Cricetulus griseus: one gene and its partners. The protein of the gene in region 2 interacts with the protein of the main gene of each other region in a biochemical or structural test. Links are inferred from orthologs where the notes say so. Each region holds a gene or a part of one and is shown on either strand. Other genes may lie near its edges. The genes, in order: Pknox1, Pbx1 and Hoxb1.

What was found.
Region 1: the proteins of Pbx1 (region 2) and Pknox1 form a complex in vitro, tested with the Homo sapiens proteins (2 studies listed by BioGRID). The link is inferred for Cricetulus griseus from reciprocal best matches to the Homo sapiens genes PBX1 and PKNOX1.
Region 3: the proteins of Pbx1 (region 2) and Hoxb1 are reported together in a solved structure, tested with the Homo sapiens proteins (2 studies listed by BioGRID and IntAct, with this or other methods). The link is inferred for Cricetulus griseus from reciprocal best matches to the Homo sapiens genes PBX1 and HOXB1.

What each region holds. Positions count from the first base shown.
Region 1 is NW_023276806.1:259,928,784-259,932,435, reverse strand, and holds part of Pknox1 (homeobox protein PKNOX1), read right to left. Parts: intron 3,036-3,652; coding exon 2,938-3,035; intron 983-2,937; coding exon 854-982; intron 1-853. UniProt on the Homo sapiens protein: Activates transcription in the presence of PBX1A and HOXA1.
Region 2 is NC_048598.1:24,509,901-24,513,552, reverse strand, and holds part of Pbx1 (pre-B-cell leukemia transcription factor 1), read right to left. Parts: intron 2,250-3,652; coding exon 2,005-2,249; intron 1-2,004. UniProt on the Homo sapiens protein: Transcription factor which binds the DNA sequence 5'-TGATTGAT-3' as part of a heterodimer with HOX proteins such as HOXA1, HOXA5, HOXB7 and HOXB8. Binds to the DNA sequence 5'-TGATTGAC-3' in complex with a nuclear factor which is not a class I HOX protein.
Region 3 is NC_048600.1:109,523,699-109,527,023, forward strand, and holds Hoxb1 (homeobox protein Hox-B1), read left to right. Parts: upstream 1-1,412; coding exon 1,413-1,977; intron 1,978-2,405; coding exon 2,406-2,734; downstream 2,735-3,325. UniProt on the Homo sapiens protein: Sequence-specific transcription factor which is part of a developmental regulatory system that provides cells with specific positional identities on the anterior-posterior axis. Acts on the anterior body structures.

The DNA of each region.
Region 1 (3,652 bases), on a different chromosome or scaffold from region 2:
ATGTTCAACAGTATAGCAGCTGTCAGTGTGTGGCGAGAATGTGATCAGCGACTAAACAATAAACAAAAAGTGAGGTCAGAAACATAAGCACAGTGCCAGACCATCAGACAGCAGTCACTGCTGCCCCACTGCTTGGAAAACTAGGTGCCGCAAAGAAATGAGGGCAAGAAGGAACAGGAAAACAAGGCAATGTGTCCTCACTGGTCCTTAGGACCAGTGTTTATATTTGAGAAACACTAGCTCATTAAAGGGAAGTGTGATAAGACATGGACACCAGAAAAGGAAAGAGGCGCGCCCAACACAGCACTTCTGTGGGGAACTGTGACCACAGCATCACAGCCATTGCACTGGCCATCACTTCCTGTCCTTTACCTGACACCGCCTGTGCTGGCAGCCCTCACCATCCTGTACACTACTTGTGTGCCTCGCTTTCTGCCTGGGCCACTCATTTTCAACTAAACAAGCCATGTGTTGGCGGTCTTCATTGTGCCCAATTTCCCCATGTGCCTTTCACTCACTGCATCTCACGCTTAGATCCGCCGCACAGACAGTGCTACTTCATCTTTCTCTTCGCCCTCTTCTCCAGTCAGTCCCATCATACAGTAGGGGTTTTCTGACCCAAAGGAGCACAATTGGCAGTAGTTTAGCTGACTCTCTTTCCACCAGTCGGGGGACCCCTGCTGCATTTTCAGTTTCTTCAAGTCATTATCAGGGACCTGTTCTCAAGCCCCACTATGGACACAATATAATACCAAACTTAGAACTGAGACAAATAAACACAAGTCAGTTTCCCTGGGGACACAAGCCAGGAGAGGGTCTCAGGTCATTCATGGTGTATCCCATGCACTCTTACCCCTATGTGCTGAAAGAGCCAGGACCGCATCACATTGGTGGCATGCTTCGGCAGGACGCCCCTCTTGTTCTTGGAGGAGCCATCCTCTTGATGCAAGATGCTGAGGTCTTGATTCAACTGCAGTTGAAGCTTTCATACAATTGACAAACAATGTCAGAGAGGCTTTGAAATGACAACATATCAAGCAGCTTACAACTTTTGAGATGGAGGAGGTACCTAGGCTCTCAGGCTTACTTACCGTAAAGAGGCATGTGTGGAAATCATGTAAAGACCAATCTGATGCTACTATAACATGGTCTACATATTTGGTCTTCATTCCCACTTTTTCAGCATGTAAGCCCTACAATTCTTAGACACTTCAAACTGTTAAGGGATGACTTCCATATGCTGAACTGTGTCAACTGTTGACTGCAGCCCCGAGGCAGGCACTGTTCGCAGGTTAGACTGAGGCAGAATCACAGATCTTTTTTTTTTAATCTTTTTTCTTTTAAGATTTTATTTATTATGTATACAATGTTCTGCCTGCATGTATGCCTGCAGGCCAGAAGTGGGCACCAGATCTCATTATAGATGGCTGTGAGCCACCATGTGGTTGCTGGGAATTGAACTCAGGATCTCTGGAAGAGCAGTCAATGTTCTTAACCTCTGAGCCATCTCTCCAGCCCCAGAACCACAGATGTTAACCATTACAGTGCACCAAAGGGCTAAAGTTTAGGGTGATCGTGGTGAGTTTCAGGTCAGCCAGGGTACAGAATGAAACCTGTCCCAATCCCCCCAAAGCAAAAAAAAAAAAAAACAAAAAACAAAAAACTCTTTTAAAACAAGACAAATGGAGTATCTTCTACAGTACCAGTAAGTTGACTTAAATTGTCTTCCCCTAAAAAAAAAAAAAAAAAAAAAAAAAAAAAAAAAAAAAAAAAGCACAATTCTCTGTGGCGCACACCTTTAATCCCAGCACTTAGAAGCAGAGGCAGGTGAATCTCTGAGTTTGAGGCCAGTCTGGTCTACAGAGTGAGATCCAGGACAGCCAGGTCTATTACACAGAGAAACTATCTTGAAAACCAGAAAACAAACAAACAAACAAAGAAGCATAACTCAATTCTAGAAAACTAGTCAATAATTGGACACGGCTCTTTTGTTACAAATATTGAAATGGAAACCACAAGGGAAGAAAGCTGGTAGGGAGACAAGGGCAGCATTGGTGAGATCCAGCTCTCCCTTATGTGGGCTTGGGCCTGAGAATCACACACTCAGTAAGTCTCTGAAGCCCCCCGCTCACCACCTATGCCAGGGGCACCTGCATCTTTTTCTCTAGTGTTGTCACCAAACCTTCATGGCCAAGATGGCAGCCCCAGACTACTAGACCACTGAGAACCACTGCAGCCCATTTAGATGGCTTTCCTTTAAGACAACAGCCACACCCCAGGCTAGGCATGAGAGTCCTTGATAAGGACATGGACAGAGACCTCACAGAGTGAATCAACATTCACAAAGTAAAACTATACTTTAAACCTTGTCTTCAATTATTCAAAGTAAAAAATTCATGTTTCTAGAACTCAGAGGGTCTTCCAGGCCATGAGACCCAACTTCCCCATTTTCCTTCAAAGGAACAGGAAGACTGCAGAACGACCTTGGCTACAATATGCCAGCGGTCACCTTTTGTTTGAAGAGCAATATACCTGAATGTGGGAGCCAAGAATTGCTTCTGCAGACACCTAGAGCCTGACCTCAACAAAGCACCCCAGTCTCACTGGGGATGGGGTACAGCTTCAGGCTAGGGGTACAGTCTGGGCTTTGTGGTTCTGAAAACTGCCTGGCTGTTCTGCATCTACAGGACTTCAAGTCTTGATGTGCAGATACTGCAGACGGATGCCATGGACATGGCAGCATCTGGGGTTGTGAAAAACTTCCCTGGTGCCTCAGACTGTTCTGAATTTTGTCAATTTCACAGTAAGGGAGAGGAAGCATGAAAAGAAACAAACCGACTAGAGGCTACTTGACAACAAATGACAGTCACAAAGAGGGGCTCCACTGCACCCCCACCTAGGCAGCACTCATCACAAGTCCTAGAGGGCATCACACACCTGGGAGTTCTGGATCCTAATTGTCCCAGGAGACAACGCCTGTGTGACCACTTGACCTTGTGGAGTGACGACGGTGACAGGCTGGTACACTGTGCCACCTCAAAAAGGAAAAGAGAATTTAAATATTAAACTACTTTTAAGTCTTAGTGGTTTACAGACATTCTTCCTGATAGGTTTATGGAAGAAATGAAAAGCCTGTCGGGTGAGCCTTTTAACCATCCCCCCCCCCCCAAGCAAGTCCCAATTTTTTAAAAATTTATTTACTTATTTTTATTACATATACAGTGTTCTGTCTGCATGTATCCCTGCAGGCCAGAAGAGGGCACCAGATCTCATGACAGATGGTTGTGATCCACCATGTGGTTGCTGGGAATTGAACTCAGGACCTCTGGAAAAGCAGCTAGTGATCTTAACCTCTGAGCCATCTCTCCAGCCCCCTTTTAACCATTTCAAATGGTCAACAATACTTTGCAAACTATGTGGTCAGACAAATTATCACACCAATTCTGGCCTGCATGGCACCTGTCCTTGTCACTGGGGACTTGGCAGGTCCCTTTCCTTTTGCTTGTTTCTGCTTTCTTTTTCCTACAGTTAGTACACATCCAACATTTGGCTAAAGAAACTGGATAATGAGCACCTTTATTTTAGTGCCTTGTCTGTCTTTTCTTTCTCGTTTGTTTGTTTGGAGACAAGGTCTCTCTGTGAACCCCTAGCT
Region 2 (3,652 bases):
TCAGGCCTAGTTTTAATAAGAGCCCTTGGCCTCAGGGTCAAAATAGGACTCCAGGACAACCTCTATTCCGCAGACATGTGTCTAACCTCTTTCATCTCACTTCCTCACCTGCATCAAATGGTCTGATGCATCCAACAACAAAATGGCATGGGAGAGCAAGGGCAATTGCATTGGTCCTGATGCTTTGCAACGGTAAGTATGCTATTGGAATGGACTACTGCTGCCCAAGCGGGCACCCCTTTTGGATGAGGGACAGGGTTATCAAAGGAGAAATCAATTCCTTGCTATCTACATTCCAAGGTAACAATAAAGCCATCTTTTAACACCTCCAAGTCTACCACACATTGCAGTTGTGTGATTAAAGAAAGCTGTATTCTGAGTTCCTTTTAGTCTTTGCTTATCTGACATGAGTTAGTCTGGGCGTCAGGTCTAGGCAGGTTTCTAGGCAGAGGCCAGGCTTCCTGAGGAAGGTGAAGTAAGAATAGCACAAATGAGAGAAACCGAGAGGCCATCCAGAGCTCTTCATAAGAAGAGTCCGAAAATGCACTTTCTGACGTTATCGAACTAAATTAGGGCAGAGTCCAGATCCAGGATGGTCCAGGTGGGGAAAAGCACCTCGATTAGGCAGGATTTATCTCAATCTTCCCCGGGACCCGAGGCAAGTCTCCATGAGCTAACATTGTGTCAAGAACATTTGTTCTTTTCCAAGAAGGTACAGGGCAATGACTCACAGTTCTTAACATGCTGACTTTTATTTTCCTTCCTTCAGCTCTCGACTACACCTGTCTGATGGGTGAATTTCAAGACGCTTAAGGTAAGGAGGCACAGCATCCCCTGCATAAAACAGTGGACTTTGTGAGTATCCTCCATTTCACAGGTGGATGGAAGAGCAATAATGAAACTTTCTCCACTTTAAATTTTAAAATGTCCATTTTTTTATTTTAAAATTTAAATTTTCTATTAGGATTGCATTTGCCACCTACCTAGGCAGTCATAAGTTGAGTGCTTTTTTTTTCCTTCTCTGGGTCATAAAAATAGTAAAAGAAAATCTAATTCAAGGGAAAAAAATCATATAGAACCTGGGTTCAGTATAGAATCCAATGGTGACAACAAATGTATTTGTTGGCTAAATAAATGAATTAAAGTCAGATGATAAAGGACTCCTGATAGAGAACTATTGTTCACAATGGTTGGAAAAACAGCACAGATAGAGAATTCCAAATGTAAGGGGGACAGAAGGGGATTTCCCTAACAGGGGGTAGCTTTGTAATCTTCCAGGTACCTCATCTCTGTACACCGATCTGTGCCCCAAAGCCACTGAATCAGAGGATATCATATCCATCATAAATCTACAGTTCTCTATCAAATGCCTGCTCCTTCAGGATACAGTATGCAGGTCCACGACACTGTCAAAGAATGCTTGGGCTGGAGTTGAGGTTGGTATGACTCTAGGATGCCTCCTAAGATGACCTACTATCTCTGCAGAGAACTGTGTACCATATCACACATAAAGAAGAGAGCACATTTGAGTCAGCTGATGCCAGCGTTTAAAGGTCAGGTTCAAGTGTCCCTTTCCATGGGATTCTTGGAGCATTCAGAAGAATAATATCCCTTAAAGAAACAAGTGGAGGCCAAAGGAAGCCAGAAGCCCCTGCCATCAGGTTGTAACTCTGAGAAAGGCCCGCACACTCGGGGGAGTCCCTCTGGACACATTCCACATCCCACAAATGTTCTGGATTTCCTGGCACAGGATACTCCTCACATTGGCCATGCATATTTCTTAAGGTCTTCATTTATAATGTCATGTTGTTTAGTGTCTTGGCCCATGTAAGGCTTTGGCTTTCAATAGTTAAGACCAGGTTCTTAAGGGGATTCAAGACTCTAGGACGATACCTGACCTCTGGGAAAGGCTGGACCAAGGAAGGTTAGCAAGCTGTAGGCTACAGTTTGTTCTGCCCTTGACCAAGGGCCACCCTGAGATCCATTCTGCAGGGGTGTGGTTACCTGCTCATACTTCTCCAGCTCCGTGTGGTAGATTTGTCTGATCTGTGACAGTTTGGCTCTGTAATCAGAATGCTCCACCGAGTTGTCTGAACCTGCACCCCCGGAAGCTGCCGCTGCTGCCGCCGCCGCTGCCGAGCCTCCTCCCTTCTCGGGCCCTGCCACCCCCTCAGCTAGCAGCATGTTGTCCAGTCGCATCAGCTGGGGGTCTGTGGGCTCCTCTTCTTGGGCTCCCCGAATACTCAAAACTACAGAGAAAGACAAAAGGGAAAAAGTATTAACAACAATGCAGGGGAAACATTTAACAAGCATGAAACACAAGAACCCAACCATGTTCCTCTGCTAAACTAGCTTCCAGATTACATGCCCTATGACAAGTGGAGAACCGAGGAAGGGCAAGACAAGAACTGAGAGGGTGAGAATGTGGAAGGAGAAGCTTGCTTTGCTCCAAGGAAACTCTACTGCGATGAATACTTAGAATAGAAGAATGGTGGAGTTGGAACCAGGAGGAGGGGCATGGGGAGCCAGTGTGTTATGCCTGCAGTTTTACGTGGGGAAGTTGAAAGGAGTTCCTGGAAGCCCAGCACTCTGGTCACATCTATAATCCCAGAACTCAGGTAGTGGAGCCAGGAGGATTAGAAGTTCAAGGTCATCGTGTGTGTGTGTGTGTGCGTGTGTGCGTGTGTGTGTGTGCGTGTGTGCGTGTGTGCGTGTGTGCGTGTGCGTGTGTGTGCGTGTGCGTGTGTGTGTGTGTGCGCGTGTGTGCGTGTGTGTGTGTGTGCGTGTGCATGTGCGTGTGTTACAAGTCAGCCTGGGCCATATAAGGCCTTGTCTCTACCCTCACACCAGATAGATAGATGGTGATGTTCACACAACCATGTAAATCTACTTTATGCCATCAAACTGAACACTATAAAATAGGCAAAATTCCCATTGTATGTGTTGTATCACAATCAATGTTAGACTACAAACATTAATTATAACAGAATAATACTTTAATCTTCAATCTGTAAGATTTTATGCAAAGAAAGTGTTTCTTCATTTCTTATTTTAGAGTTCTCTTTGTGGCTTTTACTCTGTGACTTTCTTTGAAATAGTGGATTAACCTATATTTTCATTGCCAAAATAACTTCCGTAAGGCCAATCCAGCTCATGCAATTAACTCCTGAGACCTTTTCCATGGACTAGCTGAAAGAGTGAAGACTAGTCTAGAAAAACGGGAAGACTAACCCCAGCATAGGGACATGCTAGTTTTAAAGCTGAGATCCATCTGTTCTGGTTGGTAAGTGCTTTGTTCTGTGCAAAGCAAGGGTGTGGTCTTTGTAACAAGCTGTTTTCATGGATTCAGCAAACCCAAGGTTCTGGTAGAATGGAGTTTCAGATCGAAATCTGGCTACTTTTTATGGAAACACCATAACTTTGTGGGTGGGGGTGACTTAGTCTGAAGGAGATCAAGAGATTCAGCAGTGTGGCTCACGGCAAATGCTTCCATACCTCCTACACATCATCTGCCTTCAAATAAACAAACCACTCAACTAAATCCAGTTGTGGCTTCAGCAGCCAAGCCTTTGTGGAAAGACAACATGAAGACTATTTTCAGTGTTGAAAGAAGCAGAAGAGAATTCTGGGAAAGCAGAAAAGGACGGGAGGA
Region 3 (3,325 bases), on a different chromosome or scaffold from region 2:
GCAGCAAAACAAAACAAAACAAAACAAAACAAAAAAACAGCTCTGCACCAATTCTCCCATTCTCCAAGCAAAGTAAACTCATCTATTCTAGAATACTCAGGGAAAATTTGGGTAGTCATTAACACTTAACTAGCATTGGATTTATGGATTTGAGTCTAGAAATTGGAAAAAAAAACTTTCAGGGAGACTAAAGATAATGGAGAGAGAGAGAGAGAGAGAGAGAGAGAGAGAGAGAGAGAGAGAGAGAGAGAGAGGGAAACCAGAGGAATTCAGGGTCTTTACTAGTTTTAAACACTTTTGAACAGAGAATAAAAATTCCCTTCCTCCTCTTCTTCCTGTAAACATCACCTGGTTCTGCTAGTTGCTGCTCTCTGGAGAGATATAGGGAGTTATTTAAGTCTGAGTGAGTGAGCCAGCTACAGCTATGGATGGCTAGAGAGAGGATAAATACATCCAGAGAGATGAGTTGATGGATAGGTAGGGAACGAGTATAAATATGGAGAGAGATGGACGAACAGAAAGATGAATTGAGACAGAGAGAATATAAAGAGAGGCTGAGGGAGAGAAATGGATGTGTGAATGAGGAGAGAGCGTTTATGCAGAGAGATGGAGAGAGGAAAGGGGCGTTTCTCATCTTCCTCTTCAGGTTTTGGTAGTCCTCGCTGGTCCCCTTGAAATGCCATTTTCCACCCCTTGATTCCTAATGAATTCTTCTGGATTTTAGAGCCTGGCTTACACCCTGAGGTGTTTTTACAGCCTCCCGCCCTTCCTAGTCATCCTTTTGTCCCAAGATAACATACCTCACCAGGCTGCCCTAGCCACTCATCCCAAGACAAACTGGGAGAAAGGAACATGGAATGGGGGTTCTGGGCAAAGCCAGAGCTTCTCCCAATCTCTGGCTCTACTGCCTTGGGTGGGGGTAGGCTTCTTCGAGGGGAGAAAAGAGTGAGGGGCAGCTGGGTTGAATTTGTCCAAATCTAATAATCCAGGGACCCATTGAAGGCCTTGGGGGTTGGGAGGGGAGTAAAGTCTTGAATATTCTTCTAACTCCCCCCCTCTCCCTCTGGTCCCTTCTTTCCAAAAAGTCTTTGAAGAAAGATGTTTTTGACGCTTCCATGTCGCTCTCAGATGGATGGGCTGAGAGTGATTGAAGTGTCTTTGTCATGCTAATGCTTGGGGGGTGATGGATGGGCGCTGGGGCTGCCAAACTCTGGCCCGCTTAGCCCATTGGCCTGAGAGAGATCACATGTGCCCCCCCACCCCCACTCGCTATCCCCTTCCTAGGGGAGCGCTGGCCGGAGCAAGCTGGCCCAGGCCATGGACTCAAGCCTCAGAGCTGTGACATACTGCCGAAAGGTTGTAGGGCAAGAGGGTGTCTCCCCCAAACTGCCGGACCCTCCTTCGGCCTCTACATGGACTATAATAGGATGAATTCCTTTTTAGAGTACCCACTTTGTAATCGGGGACCCAGCGCCTACAGCGCCCCAACCTCCTTTCCCCCCAGCTCAGCTCCGGCGGTTGACAGCTACGCTGGGGAGAGCCGCTTTGGTGGAGGGCTGCCCAACCCAGCGCTCCAACAAAACTCGGGGTACCCTGTCCAGCAGCCGCCTTCATCCCTGGGGGTGTCCTTTCCCAGCTCCGCTCCCTCGGGGTACGCCCCAGCGGCCTGCAACTCCAGCTATGGGCCTTCTCAGTACTATTCTATGGGTCAGTCTGAAGGAGATGGAGGCTATTTTCATCCATCGAGCTACGGAGCCCAGCTAGGAGCTTTGCCCGACAGCTACGGAGCGGGTGGAGTCGGCCCAGGGCCATATCCTCCGACGCAGCCCCATTACGGAACTGAGCAGACGGCAAACTTTGCACCAGCCTACGACCTCCTCTCTGAGGACAAGGAATCATCTTGCTCTTCAGAACCCAGCAATCTCACCCCCCGGACCTTCGACTGGATGAAGGTCAAGAGAAACCCACCTAAGACAGGTAGGGCTCAGAGTGGTCACTTCCTCTCCTTGGCCCAGGAATGCACAGAGGGTCCTGGGCCAGGGCTTGGTTCATCCCTTCAGCTGCTTTGGTATTGGCAGGTAAGGACTTTCCCGTCTTAGGTCAGCTGAGATTTCCCCCATCGAGTAAGCTTGGGGCCACCTCCTTAAAGAGGTCTCCACAAAGTACTTCCTTGTCTGGGCGCGTAGTTTGGAGGCAGGAACTCATGTTTCTGTCGGAAGGTGAGTACGGGTGGGATCTTGGTTCTGGATTTGGAAACTGCTAAAGGAGGGTTTGTGTGGTGCTGCATAGGGACGTAAGTTGGGTAGAATGATGAATGAGGAAACACAGTGCACTGAGAGGAGTGGAGGGGAGGGAGAAAGAGGTGAGAGAACTGACGTGGCTTTTTCTCCCTGCCCCGCCCCTAGCCAAGGTGTCCGAGCTAGGACTGGGCGCTCCCGGCGGCCTCCGCACAAACTTCACCACGCGCCAGCTGACCGAGCTGGAGAAGGAATTTCATTTCAACAAATACCTGAGCCGTGCGCGGAGGGTGGAGATCGCCGCCACCCTGGAGCTCAACGAAACGCAGGTGAAGATCTGGTTCCAGAACCGCCGCATGAAGCAGAAGAAGCGAGAGCGAGAGGGAGGCAGGGTGCCTACAGCACCTTCAGGTTGCCCCAAGGAAGCGGCCGGAGATGCCTCAGACCAGTCCACGTGCACCTCCCCGGAAGCCTCGCCCAGCTCCATCACCTCCTGAATTGAACCATCGGGCGTCCAGAGCTGGACCCAGTCCTGTCGTAGACTCTCCCAAACTTCACAGCCCTGGTGATCCTCCTCACGGCCGAGGAAGGAACCAGTTTAGAGGTGCCTAGGAAACTGGGCAGGAGTGGGGAAACATTTTTTTCTCAGATCTTGGGGTGGAGGGATGACTGACAGCTGGGGATCCTACAAGTCTTGGGACCTGGGGAGTACCCAACCGTTAAAGTGGAGGGAAGGCCTTTTGCCTTTGATCTAGAGATTGGCTCAATGTCAACACCCGAGTGGGGGTAGGAGCCAGCCCATCCCGGATTCTCCTTTGCCTTCCATCTCAGTTCAGTGCCTTTGAGCTTGGAGAATTCTCTTTGAGCACTCTTACCCCAACTTTCCTTCCTAGGCCTGGATAGAGAGAATCTTCAGGATGTTCCTGAGCACAGGCATATTACCGCCAATCTTTAATCTTAATCCTTAATCCAGCCAACTCACCGCAGACCTTACAATAGCATCGACTGCCTTGTGACATACCAAAAAAACCCACCCCAAGCAATCCCACAAACTCTTGCCTGGCACATTTGTATTGCACTAACGTGGC